3 linked regions of the Caenorhabditis elegans genome follow. The protein of the gene in region 3 interacts with the protein of the main gene of each other region in a pairwise test. Each region holds a gene or a part of one and is shown on either strand. Other genes may lie near its edges. The genes, in order: syp-2, syp-3 and syp-1.

What was found.
Region 1: the proteins of syp-1 (region 3) and syp-2 interact in a two-hybrid assay, tested with the Caenorhabditis elegans proteins (one study listed by BioGRID).
Region 2: the proteins of syp-1 (region 3) and syp-3 interact in a two-hybrid assay, tested with the Caenorhabditis elegans proteins (one study listed by BioGRID).

What each region holds. Positions count from the first base shown.
Region 1 is NC_003283.11:5,533,993-5,538,788, reverse strand, and holds syp-2 (Biogenesis of lysosome-related organelles complex 1 subunit 1), read right to left. Parts: upstream 2,303-4,796; 5' UTR 2,021-2,302; coding exon 1,964-2,020; intron 1,917-1,963; coding exon 1,758-1,916; intron 1,709-1,757; coding exon 1,457-1,708; intron 1,414-1,456; coding exon 1,240-1,413; 3' UTR 1,072-1,239; downstream 1-1,071. Other genes in the region: cox-16 (Cytochrome c oxidase assembly protein COX16 homolog, mitochondrial), read left to right, coding at 2,569-2,709, 2,810-2,875, 2,926-3,066; C24G6.8 (putative peptidyl-tRNA hydrolase 2), read left to right, coding at 3,059-3,289, 3,660-3,911, 4,033-4,138, 4,187-4,548.
Region 2 is NC_003279.8:8,661,872-8,666,170, forward strand, and holds syp-3 (Synaptonemal complex protein 3), read right to left. Parts: upstream 2,250-4,299; 5' UTR 2,244-2,249; coding exon 2,141-2,243; intron 2,088-2,140; coding exon 2,040-2,087; intron 1,997-2,039; coding exon 1,743-1,996; intron 1,679-1,742; coding exon 1,612-1,678; intron 1,566-1,611; coding exon 1,363-1,565; 3' UTR 1,189-1,362; downstream 1-1,188. Other genes in the region: mrt-1 (5' exonuclease Apollo), read left to right, coding at 1-314, 370-588, 635-889, 990-1,188; F39H2.3 (Aminomethyltransferase folate-binding domain-containing protein), read left to right, coding at 3,105-3,208, 3,264-3,496, 3,539-3,696, 3,767-3,851, 3,986-4,080, 4,196-4,299. UniProt on the Caenorhabditis elegans protein: Plays a role in early meiotic events; during prophase I contributes to synaptonemal complex (SC) assembly, synapsis and chiasmata formation and stabilization of homologous chromosomes pairing.
Region 3 is NC_003283.11:16,401,861-16,408,584, forward strand, and holds syp-1 (uncharacterized protein), read left to right. Parts: upstream 1-2,413; 5' UTR 2,414-2,971; coding exon of another isoform or gene 2,972-3,286; 5' UTR 3,287-3,902; coding exon 3,903-4,206; intron 4,207-4,261; coding exon 4,262-4,437; intron 4,438-4,485; coding exon 4,486-4,597; intron 4,598-4,649; coding exon 4,650-5,161; intron 5,162-5,211; coding exon 5,212-5,295; intron 5,296-5,465; coding exon 5,466-5,747; 3' UTR 5,748-5,841; downstream 5,842-6,724. Other genes in the region: F13A7.14 (BZIP domain-containing protein), read left to right, coding at 367-450, 1,515-2,015, 2,972-3,286; F26D2.3 (Core-2/I-Branching enzyme), read left to right, coding at 6,103-6,217, 6,266-6,420.

The sequences.
Region 1 (4,796 bases), about 11 Mb from region 3:
AATTTGACAAAGAGTGGAATATCTTTTGTGAGTTTTTTCGCCCTAAATGATATAGAACAGTTTGAGTATACCGAAGTTGTAAAAAATATTATTTTTCTAAATTTTTATGACATATGTTTCAGTTTTAAAAAAATATATCGAAAGGACCAAATGAGATGCCTAATCTTAATTTTTGTTTGCGCTTTTCGGCTGTATTATCACTTATACGCTTGAACATAAACATTGTCGCCATATCTCATTGGTCTCGCCACGAGGGCAACGTGTTTTATTACGGGAACACAAAATTCAGAAAATGCGTATTGCACAAAATATTTGACGCGCAAAATATCCCGCAGCGAAAACTACAGTAATCCCTTAAATGACTACTGTGGTGCTTGTGTCGATTTAGGGTTTTGAGATGAAAAAATTCGAACATCGAGCCCGTAAATCGACAGAATCGCTACAGTTGTCATTTAAAGAATTACTGTAGTTTTCGCTATTATATCTTTGGCGTCAAATATGTTGTGCAATACGCATTTTCAGAACTTTGTGTTATCGTAATACAGTAACTCGTTATCCGCGTGGCGAGACCCATGCGCATAAGATATCGCGTTGATTTTTCCATGTTTTTTTCTATGTTTTGTATTTTAATTTGTCGGGAAAAAAATCAATAATCGAAGAAAAAATGAAACAAAAATCGATAAGTACAGCCGGAAAACGTGAAAAAAATCTTCTTGGCAAACTTTTTTCTACAAATCAGTAAAAATTTAGAAAAATTCTATAATTTTTTTACACTATTATTCGGCATAATAAGATTTTTTCTGTTATTTTTGGGAAAAAAAAACACAGACGCTACTCCACAAATTGCATAAGTATTCAAAAAAAACTTACCGTTCATACTTTGTGAAACATTTATCGAGTTACAGTCAAAAAGAGTAAAAGGAAACTACGCCATCGGACAATTGGTGGATTTGCATAAATTGATATTTTGAAATTCAAATTTTTCAAGTTTTTGTTTCATACGTTTCATTTTGTCCTGTGTCCTATGCGGCGGAGGCGTAATGCATTCTGTGAAAGTTGAGTGATGCGAGTTTTTAAACAAAATTTTATTCATTTTGGTCAAATATGGATTTTGGATTGTTTTTTTTTCAAAAAAAAAAGTTCCCATATTTGAGAAAGCAATACATGCAATACGATGGACAAACATTAAAATGATACATGTCATGTAATAAAACAAGGAAATTGAATACAACAGATGATTTATAACTTGTCAGCCCACGGCTCGAGCGTTTCAACCAAATCCAGAAGTTTGTCGTAATGAGCAGAGAAATCTTCCGAGAACCCATCGTTGTTGATTTTTGCATTATTGATTATTTTTATAGCCGCCTGAACATCATTGAGACAAGTGGAATGATGCGATCTGGCGTCAACGCGCTGAAATTTTTAAATATATATTTACTAATTATCTAATTCTTACATTTTCGAGTGTTTTAGACCAATTGTTGGCTTTCTCGACGAGCTCTTTTGTTTTTCCTTCTAGAGAAATGAGCTTCTTTGACTGTTTCTCCATTTGGTCGCTGAGTTTACTTTCGGCTAATGCCATATTTGCGATACGTTCGATTGAATTTGCCAGCTCCATTGTCAGATCTTGTGTCATTTTCGCCTGCTTGATCATTTTGTGTTCAATTTCAGAAACGTCATCCAATATGTCGCTTTGCTTACTCACAAGCTGAAATAAATTTTAATTGATTTATTTTCTGAATAACATTGGATCATACTGAAATTATATCGGCCACATCATGAGCAGGTTTCGATTTCTTCGGCGTGGAATGCATAGTTCGAAGATTTTTCGCTTTTGCAGGTTGTTTAGTTTGGGCCGCCACAGTTACTGCAGCTGTTTTCTGTGAAGAAGACACTGGAGATGCGAAGCTGACTCTCTAAAGATTCAATATTTTTAGTGAACCAATAAGAAGACTTCAATTACCCGGTCATCTTGGGGTCCTGGCCGCTTTTTGAGCGAAGATCGATGGGCAGAATTCATTCAAAAATTCTCAGAAGCGAAGTTTAAAATTAAAAAAAAAGAATAATGGAATCGAAATGGAATTTGGTAAAGAATTCACAAAAACTACGGTATCGGTCATTTTCCATGTGTTGGTCTGGCAACGCTGTGGAATTATTTTGTAATGCGCCTTTAAAGTTACAGTAGTACATTTTTAAATGCAGATTTAATAGTTTTCAAGGATTTGTTTATTGAACCATCTGCTTTTCAATCATGAAATAATTTAAGACTTTTTAATGCTTTCAGTTTACAGCTGCCTCGCATGCATGTATCTCAAGAATGATCACTTGTTTTCTTGATTTCTCTGTTGTAACGACGCTCCGCTCTAACGCATGCGCATGTTGTTTAGCGAATCGCGGACGCAAACCAATTTTTATTTTCTTTCTCAATTGCCCCTCTTTGTGCTCTTTTTCGCGAGTTATTTCCGATATTTCACAATTTATTAATACACTTAGCTCACGAGGGCGACAGTTCATGAATGTCTCTTCGAATTTCTAAATCTTTCAGTCGTGCGGTTCGTTTAAACGTTTATGAGCCGTCTGAAGTTTGTTCGTGTCGGGCTTCCATTTTTCGCAATCGTCTTGGGTAGCGCGTACGGACTTCACTTTTTCCAACAAGTCCGATTCGATTTTCGAAAAATCAAGCAAGAAGACGATAATCTTGAGCTCTTGGTGCGTTTCGTTTCTAGAAAATATCTCAACCTATTAACGTGTGATTTCTACCCTTTTCTAATTTTTTTTCTCATTTAAACTCTAAATTTATTGTTTGCAGAGGTCAGATTTGACAAGAAGCGGTCTGCGTCTTCGCGAAGGAGTCACTGTCGAGTCAGTTTATAAAGTGGGTTTTTGAAAAAAAAAAAAGATCTTTAATAAATACATAGTTTTAAGGAAGTCGCTGAACTTGACACGGACAACTGGGAAAACATCCGAGGTCCAAGAGATACTGAAGATCTCACCGACTATAACCTAATCAAAAAGCAGCAACAAGAAGCTAGTCGCAAAGTTCGAGAGTTGAAATCTAATGTCTGAAAACATCCCCGACATTGACCCCAACGAGCTCCTTCCAAACGCGCCAGGACAACATCAGGACCTTGGAGTTGATAATCCTCCAGAACCAGATAACGCTTCAATCCGAGCAGAGAGAGGTTCACCGACTCCGTCGTCCGTGACAGTCGACAACGCACCCTCCCTGCCGGATCGGTCATTCTCGCATTTACCAATTAACGATCCTTTCAGCGGAGAAATTCCAGAAGTATGTATATACTCACAGACTCCTCGGCGCGATATTACGGCGCGTAGTTGTCTTCTGTAAATCCCGATATTTTCACAATTTTCAATTGATTTGAGTATCCATATCCGCGGTAAAGCTGATATTTCTCTATTAAATAAAAGAAAAATAAACACCTGCAGAATGTTTTCAATGAGCAACCCTTAATGTAAAAAATACTCGTACAAAAACCATAATTTTTATAAGATACTATTATAATAGTAACATTATGTGTTTATGAACATATTTTAAATGAAAGTTAGCAAAAAACAAGAGCTAGAAATGATTGAAAGGCGCATCCAAGGAGGCTGTGAATTCTAGCTTCAATAATCTGATAATAAAAAATAATTTCCAGGTGCCGATCCCATCATCTGCAATCTCAATCTCCAGTCAAGCTTTATCTGATCCAGTTCCCACACCATCCGACACTTCAAGACCTGGAATTCTTCGCAACGACGAGCAAGGTTCGACATCCAGTCATCCAGTCGATCCACAAGAACCTAACGAAGTTAACAACGAGTATTTGGCGCATCTTCTCGATTTAGGATTCGACGAGTACACTGCAGTTCTTGCGTTGAAAAGAACGAATAGCGCCGGCGTTGAACAGGTGCCGTTTATTTCTTTATGTTTTGCGCTAGAACACATTAACTTTAATTATGTTAATAACACGCATGAAATTATGTTTCATGTATATTAAACAGATCTCATAATTGTCTCTCATATTTCAGGCAGTTGCTTGGATTGTTGAACGTTCCAACGAAAGCGATTTCGACGAGGATTCGAGTAGCAGTGAGAACGAAGCAGACGAAGAAATGGGAGCTGTTCAATCAGTTGGTAGGAATTTTTCATGAATATATTCAAATTTTAATTTAATTCTTACAGCCGGACGTACCCATAAAATGGTTCTTGTCGCCAACATGAGTTTGAAAATGGGAACGGGAAAAATTGCTGCACAAGTTGGCCACGCTACTCTCGGAGTCTACCGTCAAGCTATGAACTCTGAAAACGGACAAAATGCGATCGCCGCGTGGACAAGACATGGTCAGGTTAAAATCGTCGTGAAGGGACAGAGCACGGAGCAACTGATGGATCTGTGTAAAGTGGCCAAGGATGCAGGATGCTATTACTATCTAGTTCAAGATGCTGGTTACACCCAAATTCCGGCTGGTTCAAGAACTGTTCTTGGTATTTTTGGAACTGTCGAGCAAGTGGATTCGGTCACAGGAGGACTCAAATTGCTCTAGATTTAAATTATTTTTTATAATCTGTTTGCGTTCTCGTTTTCTCCCCATTTATCTCCCCATCAGTACATTGTTTTTAACGATGGCAACGATGAATAAATGGAAAAGTGGTTTTCACTGTCAAATATCGAATTTCCGGTATTCATAGAAAGTAACTTGAAAAGATCGAGCCGCAATAAACGAAGCCAGCGAAAGAGAAAGTCATTAAGCCATCGGGTGCTTATTTGAAACAGTGAAGCGTAACCACACAC
Region 2 (4,299 bases), on a different chromosome or scaffold from region 3:
CCAGCCGGTCTAATTAACCCTCTTGAGGAGAACGTCCCTCACAAATTTGATAGTTTTCAAGTGACACTAGTCAATGCGAATCACTGTCCTGGAGCAGTTATGTTTGTATTCGAAGGATCAAAAATTGAAGAAATCGCAGGCGGTGCTGTTCTGTGCACTGGTGATTTTCGAGCAGATAAAATGTTTTTGGAAAGTCTAAAACCAGGAAACCAATTGCATTGGATGACCGAAATAAAATTTGGAATTATTTATTTGGATAACACCTATTTTTCATTGGATATGCCGTTTCCTGAACGATGCGAGGCAGAAAAAATGTAAGAAATCTAATAATTCGCTATTATTTAAATTTTAATCAGTTTAATTTTTTAGACTCCTGAAGGCTATTGAAGCACATCCGCATGAAAATATTGTTATTCCCTTGCATAGACTTGGGCGTGAAGAATTGATTCAAGCAATATCTCGAATATTGAATGAACCCATTATGGTTTATGATGAAAGAAAAGTTATTTCAGATTTATTAGACTTTTCATCAAACTGTGGAGTTTTGAAACAGTATCGAGATATTAAAGTTATCAAAAAAGGAAGCTAGTACGGCTTTCCATTTTTAAACACATCAAATAATCCTTTATTTTAGTTGTGAAATATCTCAAAATTCGGTGATAATCGACATATCGATGCTCTATTATACGTTTGGAAATGGTGTCAACGACGACGAGGGAATCATTAGAATTCCATATTCCGACCACTCTTCAAGAAGTGAAATTCTTAAATTTCTCAGTCATTTTCACTTTAAAACGATTACGCCGTGTACTAAAAAGTATTCTATCATTGAGCTGGCATCTTTGGAAAATGCAGGAAAACGATCAGAAGAGGACCACACAGTAGAAAAGTAAGTTAGTCTCATTATTGAAGCACGACTTTCGAAAAAGGGAAAGTTATTCATATTCCCAAAATTGTGAATTTTAATTAATAGGAACATCTTACTTTAGGACTCAATCTACTATCCAAGGAACACCCATTTCACAACTTCAAGAAGACCCTCTACCGCCTGGAGTTGTATTTCGAACGAATACATGCGATTTTATGGATATGGACTTGGACAATTGGCCGGAAGGACCTCCGAAAACATTTGCGGAAGCTATCGCTCGGGCCAATAATTCAAGAAGGCCGAGAAATCCAGGACTATAATTTATTAAAACTTCACAACGGTTGATGCAATAAAATTAAATATTACATGATAAGCATTCGACATGATGAAAGTTTAGGATAACAGAACGATTTGAAAAAAGATTATTCAATTTTTAATATCATTACAGTTCGATTAACAGTTGCCCACATTTTGGCTGTTCTGATTCTTTTAATTCATGTAGAAAGTCGGGCTTTCAGAGCTTCTTCTTGTAGACGACATTTTTGGTACTCACTGCGCAGTTTGGCAACTTGATAATGGAAAATAATGCGAAGAGTGTTGCGCTCTTTGTAGGTCGCTCCACATGTTGGACGGAGAGAAGGAATCATTTCAGAAATAGTCGATGATTGATCAGCGATGGCGACTTCTAGTTGTTTCTCTGCAAGTTTAGTTGATAATACCATCAAAATTTTTTTTCAACTTACTTTCAATGTTTAATTCATCCAGATTGTTTTTGAGTGAATTGAATTGACCATTCATCGAATCATGTGACTGAAAATATAACATTCAGAAACCCACTCTTTTTAAAAATTATAAAGTTATCGAGCAGACTTACCAAGTTGTTCATCGATTTAATTAATGAATTGAAGTGATCTCCGAACTGTGTACCCGCACTGTCCACATCCTCGTTTTCCAAATAAGACATTAGTTCATCATAGGCTTTTTCTTGTCTCTCTTCCCAGTCTCTTTTCTGTTCAGACAGTTTATTGTCAGTTGCTGTCAAATCCTGAAGCTGTCTTTCTAGACTTTCTCGTTGAGCAGCACATTTAACCCTGTCTTCAGCAATTCGCTCGGTGAATGAAGTTTCGGCTGAAGAAAATTTTAAAGTTGAGCCTTTTTCAATCTGTCAAACCTTCAAGCTGTTGAGTTTCGATTTGCCTCATTCCTTTTTCTATGGCCTCTGAAAATGTATTTTTAAATTCATATTTCATTGATGTTTGCCTCAAAACATACCTCTTTCCCCAGCGAGCGAGTTGGTGAACTCAGTGAGCTGCCCGCAGAAAATTTTGAATCGGTCACCATTTACTGCCTGACTGACAAGCTTTTCGAAATTCATTTATCTCTGAAATTGGAGATATTGAAATGGCCAATTCACAATAGAAAATAAAAATATTTAAAATTAACAAAAAACCGTAGCGTGTTTGCGATCGTTGCGAGACCCACATGACTTAAGAACAACGTGAGCCTTTAAACCGTATGTTTTCATGAACAGTTTTATTTTTATTCACTCATTAAACACACAAAATATTCATTTTTTAAATATGTATTCGCTTCGACAATTTTTAATTCAAATTAATTTTATTAAATTTAAGCAACAACCTACACTCAAAATAAAAAAACTGCGTGGCCTGTACTGCAGAAAACCTCATTTTTAGGCCCCGCCTTTTTCTCGTCCACTCACGGACAAAAGGCAAAAATTTGGGGACCAACCAATATCAGGCCGCCGACATCCTACGGGTTCCGCGCGCCGCTAGGATTAACTCGCTGTGGGCGTGGCGAGCTGTCTCCGCCCGCTGCGAGTTAAACATAGCGGCGCGCGGAACCCGTAGGATGTCGGCGGCATGATATTGGTTGGTCCCCAAATTTTTGCCTCCACTCCGTGAGTGGACGAGAAAAAGGCGGGGCCTAAATATGAGGTTTTCTGCAGTACACGCCACGCAGTTTTTTTATTTTGAGTGTAGTTTGTCCCAAGCTTAGGCAAATTATAATTATTCCCAGCTTTCAATGCGACGTACTTGGTGCTTCATCCTAAATAGTTTGCTGCTAATCCAAGCGCTTGTTTTCTTTTTCAAATTTCCTCGCTCTACTTGCGGCCGCGGACGAAATTATTCGGCACGGCCATATGATCATCCCCGTTGCGAAATTTACTCTAACATATTTTAATATGTTTTCTTGTGATTATCAAACTTTTTTACAGATGTCAACACAAAGATTAATTAAATTGCCTCATAGAGTTCTTTTGAAACTTCATGGCTCTGACACAAACGCGTTTCTTCAAGGTTTAATTACAAATGATGTGACGTATGTTTTTATACTCTAAAAATTACAGCGAAAATGATTACATCTTATTTTGCAGAAAACTTCAAACTCAAAATGGACTTGCTGCTTTTTTGCTCAACACAAAAGGGAGAATTGTTGAAGATGTTCTTCTATGGAGACGAGGAACTGATGATTTGTTCTTGGAATGTTCTAAAGAAAATAAAACTATTTTAACAAAAGAAATCTTGAAATATCGATTGAGGAAACAAGTTGAAATCACCGAATCTTCCGATCAAATATTTTTCACAGAAGATGTATCGGACAAACAAGGTAGAAAATGAACGTCAAAACTTTAATAACATTTTATTTTAGCTCACCGCGATCCTCGATTTTCTGGTTTTGGAGCTCGCGTTTTCGGTAATCCGTCTTCATCGGAAGTTAGCGAAAATCGAGAAAAATATGAAAATTTGCGACGATCTGCTGGAATTGCAGAAGGATCTCAAGAATTGGCGGAGTTGCTTCCTTTTCAGGTAAAAATACAACAGAAGCAATTTAAATGAAATATTTCTAAAAGTTCATTTTCAAATATTATTTTTTAAGGCAAACGGTGATCTGCTCAATATGGTTTCACTTGATAAAGGATGTTATGTTGGACAGGAATTAACTGCAAGAACTGCTCATACAGGTTACTTCAACTAAATTTAGATATTTGGAGACGTGAAATCTCACTTTCCTTTTTATTTAGTAACTTGTCAATTAAATTTTTGTAAAACCCACAAAACTAGTTCAATTTGATTTTGAAAAATTAAATTTTGACAGGTGTTATCCGTCGACGAATCTTACCATTTGAATGTGAAGGTCAAGTCAAAATTGGAGCAGAAGTTCTGGACGAGAAGAAAAATAAAGTCGGAAAGGTGTGTTTAAAAGTTATAGTGATAAAAAATTCATCTAAACGTTGGAATTATCTGGAGTCAATTCACTGTCAAAAATTGAAAAACAATAGTTTCTGTTCAATTAAAAAATCTTCAGATTATCTCTTCTGACACAACTCGTTGCCTGGGAATTCTTCAACTTTCTTCATTCAAATCTCAAAAATTGACAGCTGATGGAGTTTCGTTAACCGCAAAGCAACC
Region 3 (6,724 bases):
TTTACTTTTAATAATATAGTAAATTTTCAGAAATCCGATGTCAATATCACCTCGACAATAACCGGATTGTTTTCATAGTTTATTAAAGTGAGATGATTTACAACTTGTGTTTTTTCGGTTGTTTCACATCAATAATTAGCGAAAACAGGCGGTATTCTTTGATTATCCGACTCTATAATCCCAACAGCCAGTTGCACCCTCACCAAACACACACACACCGCAACAGGGAAGAGGTGTCGGCTCTCTTTGATCCGCCTTCTTACAAGCGGCGACACTGTCTGTCTACGCGCGGTCATTATCGATTTTTCGGGGGCACAATAATATATTTTTTTTTGAATATAATTGTATAATTTTTTCGATTTTAGAATGGCTGGAATTGTGCGGAAGTTCTTCAAAAGTAAGAAAACGAAAAAAGAAGAGCTCTTCGACGACGATGATGATTATGCAGAGGTAAGGGCGAATTTGTTAATAAAAATTATTGAATTTTGCGAAAATCTCCTTTTTGTCACCTCCCAGCAGCCGGAAACTGGCTTTTTGTTTGAAATATTCGCCAAATTTAGCGTTTGCTTATTAAAAACCCGAAAATTTCTGATTTTTTCCAATAAAAACAAGGAAAATTCGAATTTTCCAGTTAAAAATCTATTGAAATCCCTATTTTCCGTTGAAAATCCAAAAAAAATCGGCAAATTTCCGAGAAAAATTCTTTTTTTTTAAACAAGAAACCAGAAAAACCAGGTTTTCCAATAAAATAACTTTAAAAAATTCCAGTTTATCATGTAAAAATCAAGAAATATTCGAATTTTCCGATAAAAAAGCGGAAAATTTCTGATTTTCCCTCTATAAAACCAGAAAATATTGACTTTTTCAAGAAAATTCTTTGTTTTCCTCAAAAAACCTTAAAATCCTGATTTTTCACGGAAGAATCCAGAAAATGTTCAGTTTTAATAAGAAAAATCTAGAAAAATCCGGTTTTTCCACTAAAAAGCGGAAAATTTTTGATTTTCTTCAATGAAAACACAAGGAAAATTCGAATTTTCCAGTTAAAAATCTATTAAAATCCATATTTTCCGCTGAAAACACAAAAAAAGCCAATTTCAGAATAAAATTCAATTTTTTAACAAAAAAAAACGGAAAATCTAGATTTTTCAACGAAAAAATCCAGAAAAACCGGGTTTTCCAATGAAATAACTTTAAAAATTCCAGTTGATCATGTAAAAATCGAGAAATATTCAAATTTCCCGATAAAAAGACAAGAAAAATGGTTAATAGTCAGAAAAATTCCATTACAACAAAAATATACCAAAAAAAATTCGAGTTTTCCAATAAAAAATCAGAAAAATGCCTTTTTTTTCAATTCAAAAGCGCGATACAAATCCAAAAAGCCAAAAAAATGTTTTTTTTTAAATTTTTCTGTAAAATCTGAAAAATTGTATTTTCTCATAAAAAACAACCTGAAATTTTCAATTTTTTAAAATAAAAAACCCAATTTTTTTAAAAAATCAAATATTTTTCAGCTACAACCCGGTCCATCACCAAAACCCTATAGATTTACTGAATCTGAACCTCCTGTTCCACCACCACCACCAACTACAACAACTCCAAAACTTCATCACGATGAAACTCTCGACCTTGACGCGACATTTGATCAACCAAATCTCAAAAGGCGACGAGTTCACCTCGATCGTTCTAGTCCAGAAAATCAATATCCAAGTGAAGATTCGATTTACGAGTTCACCCAATTTACACTACAAAAATGGGAACACGAAGAGTCTCGGCGACAAGAAAAACGGAAAAGAAAGCGAGTTGCTGAGCGAATTGAACGGGAAAATTATGTGCATAATGCTATGGAAAATTTCAATTTAAATATGCCGAGCGTGTCGGATGTGGAGAAGCTTCGCCGAGAACGAGATCAATTTAAGAAGGAAATGGAAAAGTATCGGAGCAAATGTGAGAAGCTTGAGAAGAGATGTGAGCAGTTGGAGATGGAAAAGAAGAATTCGGTGCCAGTTTTTCAGGTAAAAATTTGCAGTGAAATTGGACTATTTTCGCAAATTTTGGCATTAAATCGTCAAAAATTGTATTTTATGATTAAAAAACTATACATTTAGCGATTTTCAGCGAAATTTTGCGATTTTCAGCAAGAATTTTAGCAAATTTGAATGCTAAAAATTAGCAAAAACGGACTAAAATTAAGAATTCCAGCAAAAAAAAACTGCACACTTCTCCTAGAGGGGTACAAAAACTGCGTGAAACCACGCCCATTTTTCTGTGCGGCACTGTTGGTTTTTTTTCGATTTCGACGCAAATTTGTCTTTCTTTGCCGATTTTTTTTTGCGTTTTTGATGTTGAAGAAATTTTAAATTCTTAAAAATACACTTTTCATGTTATTTTCCACTCGGAGAGGGAATTTTGCGTATTTTCAAATTTTTTTTCCTAAAAAACGTCAAAAATACAAAAAAATACCTTCTCCGAGTAAAAATCTACATGAAAAGTGTCACAATTAAAAAAAAATGGATGAAAAATACGAATTTCCTTCGAAATTCAAAAAATTACAAAAGTACGGCACGGAAAAATGGGCGTGTCTTAGCGCCAAGTTCGCGGTAATTCAAATTCCAAAAATTGTCAGAGCAGTTCTGTCGATTTACGCGGCCCGTGTACTCCTCGTGGAGAAGTGTGCATTTGTTTTCAGAAGATCCTGCATTTCTTGGCTTAAACCCCTACGGTAGCCGGTCTCGACACGAAAATTGTTGTAAAGTGCAAAACAAGTATGCGCCTTTAAGGATTACTGTATTTTCAAAATTTCTTCATCGATTTTTCATAGTGTTCCGAATAAATTTTTAAAAATCTAAAATAAAATTCCCATTTTCCGTAAAACTACAGTAATCTTTAAAGGCGCACACCTTTTCAAATTTAACAAAAATTTTAAAAAATCACAAAATTTCACGTCTCGGAAATAAATAAAAATTTTCAGCCATTCAACAGCAATTTCTACTTTGGACCGGCGACAGCTTCAACTCTTCAACCATTCCAACTACAACCTCCGGCTCTTCAATTCACACACTCGTTCAACTTCACCGCATTACCCTCTACTTCTGCACCATTCCCACCGGCTCCTTCTGCTGCTGCTCCAGCACCTTCCCCGTTCAGCCAAATGGGACCTGTTGGACCAATGGCTCCACGATATACTGATCCGATCACCGTGTACGATTACAATGATGATGATGATACTTCGTTGAGTGATCTGTCGAATAGTTCGAAAAGTGATATTTCTGATGATCTCAAGTGAAACATGAATAATCTACTTATAGAAATGTGTGAATATTTTTTTTTGGATTTCCAATGCGTGTAACATTCGTCTTTTTATGTTTTTTTTCAAATTCACAATTAAACAATAAATCATATTACTTGTATTTCGAGGAGCTGGACACAGGGTCTTGACACGACAATTTTAAATATTTACTTACGGACTTTTTTCAATAAATAATTATATTTTCAATGAAAAGCTAATGTTCGAAATCACAAAGGAGCACAACCAATTCAAAATCAGCGCTGATTTTTTGTTCAATTTTCCGTCTTTTTTTCCTGAATTTTACGAAGTTTTCTGCAGTTTTTGTCATGTTTTACAGCAAAAAAACCATATAATCTTGAAAAAAATAGCTGCAACAAAACGCGCTCCATTGACAAAATCTCAAGTTACTGTAGGCAATCTGCAAATTTGCGCCGCGGTGTTTGCGGCCTCCGCTCATATTAAAAAAAATATTTTAAAAATTATTCTTTAAATTTTAAACCGTTTTACAAAGTTTTTTTCTTCATTTTTCAATCTTTTTTCTTCGATTTTTCCAATTTTTAATATAAATTTTTGCCGAAAATGCTTATAAATATTTATTTTCAGGTTTCTGGCAATGGATAACTTCACAATTTGGGTTGACGCTCCCACTGAAGCACTTATTGAGACACCAGTTGATGACCAATCGTCAGGCTTTCTTCGCGATGAGATCATGCTCACACAGCAATACGTTCTTGAGAAGCTTGACGAGCAGACTGAGCAAGATAAAGGCGAGCAAACTGATGAGCAGGCGGCGAAATCTCGCGAGCTGGCTTCTCAAGTTCAAACCGAGTCGCAACGAATGCATGATATAAAGAAGGAGCTTAACGTATTCAAAGAGTCGTGCAAGTCGATCGAATTGCAACTTGTCTCTGTCAAAAGTGAGAAAATGTTCAATTTTTCTTGAAAATCATCACTGAAAATATCCAATTTCAGAAAGCATCCCAGATCGCACCAAGCTACAATCAGGCGAAAAGGAGAAAAGTCTTAATGAAGCGGATTATGAGTTATCCAAATTCGAAGATTTGTTGTCTAGTCGTGAAAGAGAGCTCACTAAGATAATTCAACGCGAACAATCTCGTAATAACGGAGAAGCTAAAAATGAGTGCAAGGTTAGTTATTGAATATTCTTTTTTAAATTATCAATTGAATATTTTCAGAGGCTTCGTGAAATGATCATGGCAGCCAAGCAGAAACATGAAAAATTGGTGGAGCTGAATTCGTCGTGCGCAATGATGCAAGCGAAATACGATGAAATGATAATTCGCCAAGGTATTAAATTCTTCAGTAAATAGAAAATATGAAATGTTCTTCTAAATTTCAGATCAAGACCGAGAAGCGCTCGAAGAGGGAAAACTGAATCTCAAAGCATCAGAGGAGAAGTTGGAGCAAATGAGGGAAGATTGCGTCACACTCCGTTCTCAGCTATTTCAATTCGAAGCAAGCCGTTCGCAAGACAAAACGACTGAAATTGAAAAGGAAATCGAAAAGATCACAGCGGAGACTGCAAAAGTTCGAGTGGAAAATGAACAGCTGAAAGCTTCCCTCTCAAAGATCAAGGAGGATACGAAAATATTAAAATTGAAGTATGAGGCACGTCAACAAGAAGACATCGAGAATAAGAAATTGATTGAAGAGCGCAAAAGATCAATTATCGAACTTCTTCGTCGAAAAATTGCTGAAAAGAAGAAATCAAATACAGTTAAAGGATCAGATCGAAAGAAAATCACCAGTCTCAAAAAAGCAATTGCTAAAGAACAAGAGAAGCTAGAGAAAGGAAAGAAGGAACTGGAGCAGCTCCAATCTTCAAAAACGGAGAGTGATCTTGAAGAAGAGGTTATTCCTTAAATATATAGTACTGTAACCAATAATTTTTTATTGTTCAGATCTCTGCTATGCAGTTGGAAATCAATGACTATGATAAGCAAATCAAGGACGCCGCCAAGGAACACGAGAAGTTGTTCAATCAAGTAATAATAATTTTTGAATTTAATACAGAGTTATTTGTAGACTCAAAATGTGCCCAAAAGAACCAATTTCGCTATGAAACAAGAAAATTTTATTGTGGTTCAAAATTTACCCCATTTTTCGATAGTTTTTTCAACGGAAATTGTTCACTAATTTTTTTTCCATTTTTCAGATTAAAGAACAACGTGCTGCAAACGGCGATCAATTTAACGACACCATCGATATCGTGGAATCCGACTATTCAGATCGAGTAGTTCCGCCGCAGCCAAGTGTAGAAGTTACTCCAGTACACCGACAAGTGTCTCATGATGTATTCTCGGCGCCATTGATGACGAGCACACCACTTACCGCAGCTACCAGACCGTTGAAACGAACTCGTGCGGCCGATCGTCTTAAAACGAGAGCCGAAGCTCATACTGCAGATGTTCGCCGAAAGAGAGGAGGGAAGAAATAATGTGTGTGTGGGGAAGAAACGACTATGTACCATTTCAATCTTGTGCTATTTTTTTTTGTGTTTTTAGAGTTTTATATAAAGTAATTTGCGGCAACGAGAGAGAAAAAACCAGATTTCAATTCTTCTCGAATTGCAGGAAGAATCTTTTTTCAAAAAAACTCCCCGACAAATTGGCCAATTTGAACGGGAATTGTTCTCGCATGTCTTGTCTAAGTTCAAACACTTTTTTTTTTAATTCCCACAGGTCAACACACAATGCACGCCTTCCACTAGACATTCCTCCAATTTTTCCGCCCTTTTAATCTGATTTTTTTTGCAAAGGCGGCGGAAGACTTTATCTACATACTTACCTCAAATGTCTCAACAAAGACAATTGCCCTATTCGGTTATTCTACTTATTTTGGGATTTACTTTTATAATTTACTTAGTTTCTCCCACAACACTCCTCAATCTGTTCTATGGAGAATTTGGTGAGATCTTCGAGCTTCTTGTTTCTCTGAAAAGTACATTTTCTTTAGATCCTTATCTATCGGCGGACCGGAAAGTTGTCGTTTACGAGAAAATGATTGAGGCATTGAGGAATATGGATAAATATTGTAAAGATCGAAGGTTCTATTGCAAACGGCCCGAAACTCGACATGTGGATTGCAGACGGGTCCTTCGAGGGGATAAGGTTGGCAGCCGACATCTTACTGGTTTTTATTTTATTTGTTACTTAGACGTCTGAAACTGAGAATTTACCCCATAACTTACGCTCAAGGGTCTCGCCACGCCGACAACGGGTTACTGTAACGGTTTTATTTATATTTATATTCATGGACTCGACACGATATACAGTTTAAAAAACTAAACGTGGCAAGATTAGACGTTTACGTAATAAATATTAATCACGGAAAACTGTTATAAAGGGCATCTTCAAGTATCTATGTATTATGGATCAGGACATTTGAAAATCGCTGTTTTTTTTTCGTTTTTGT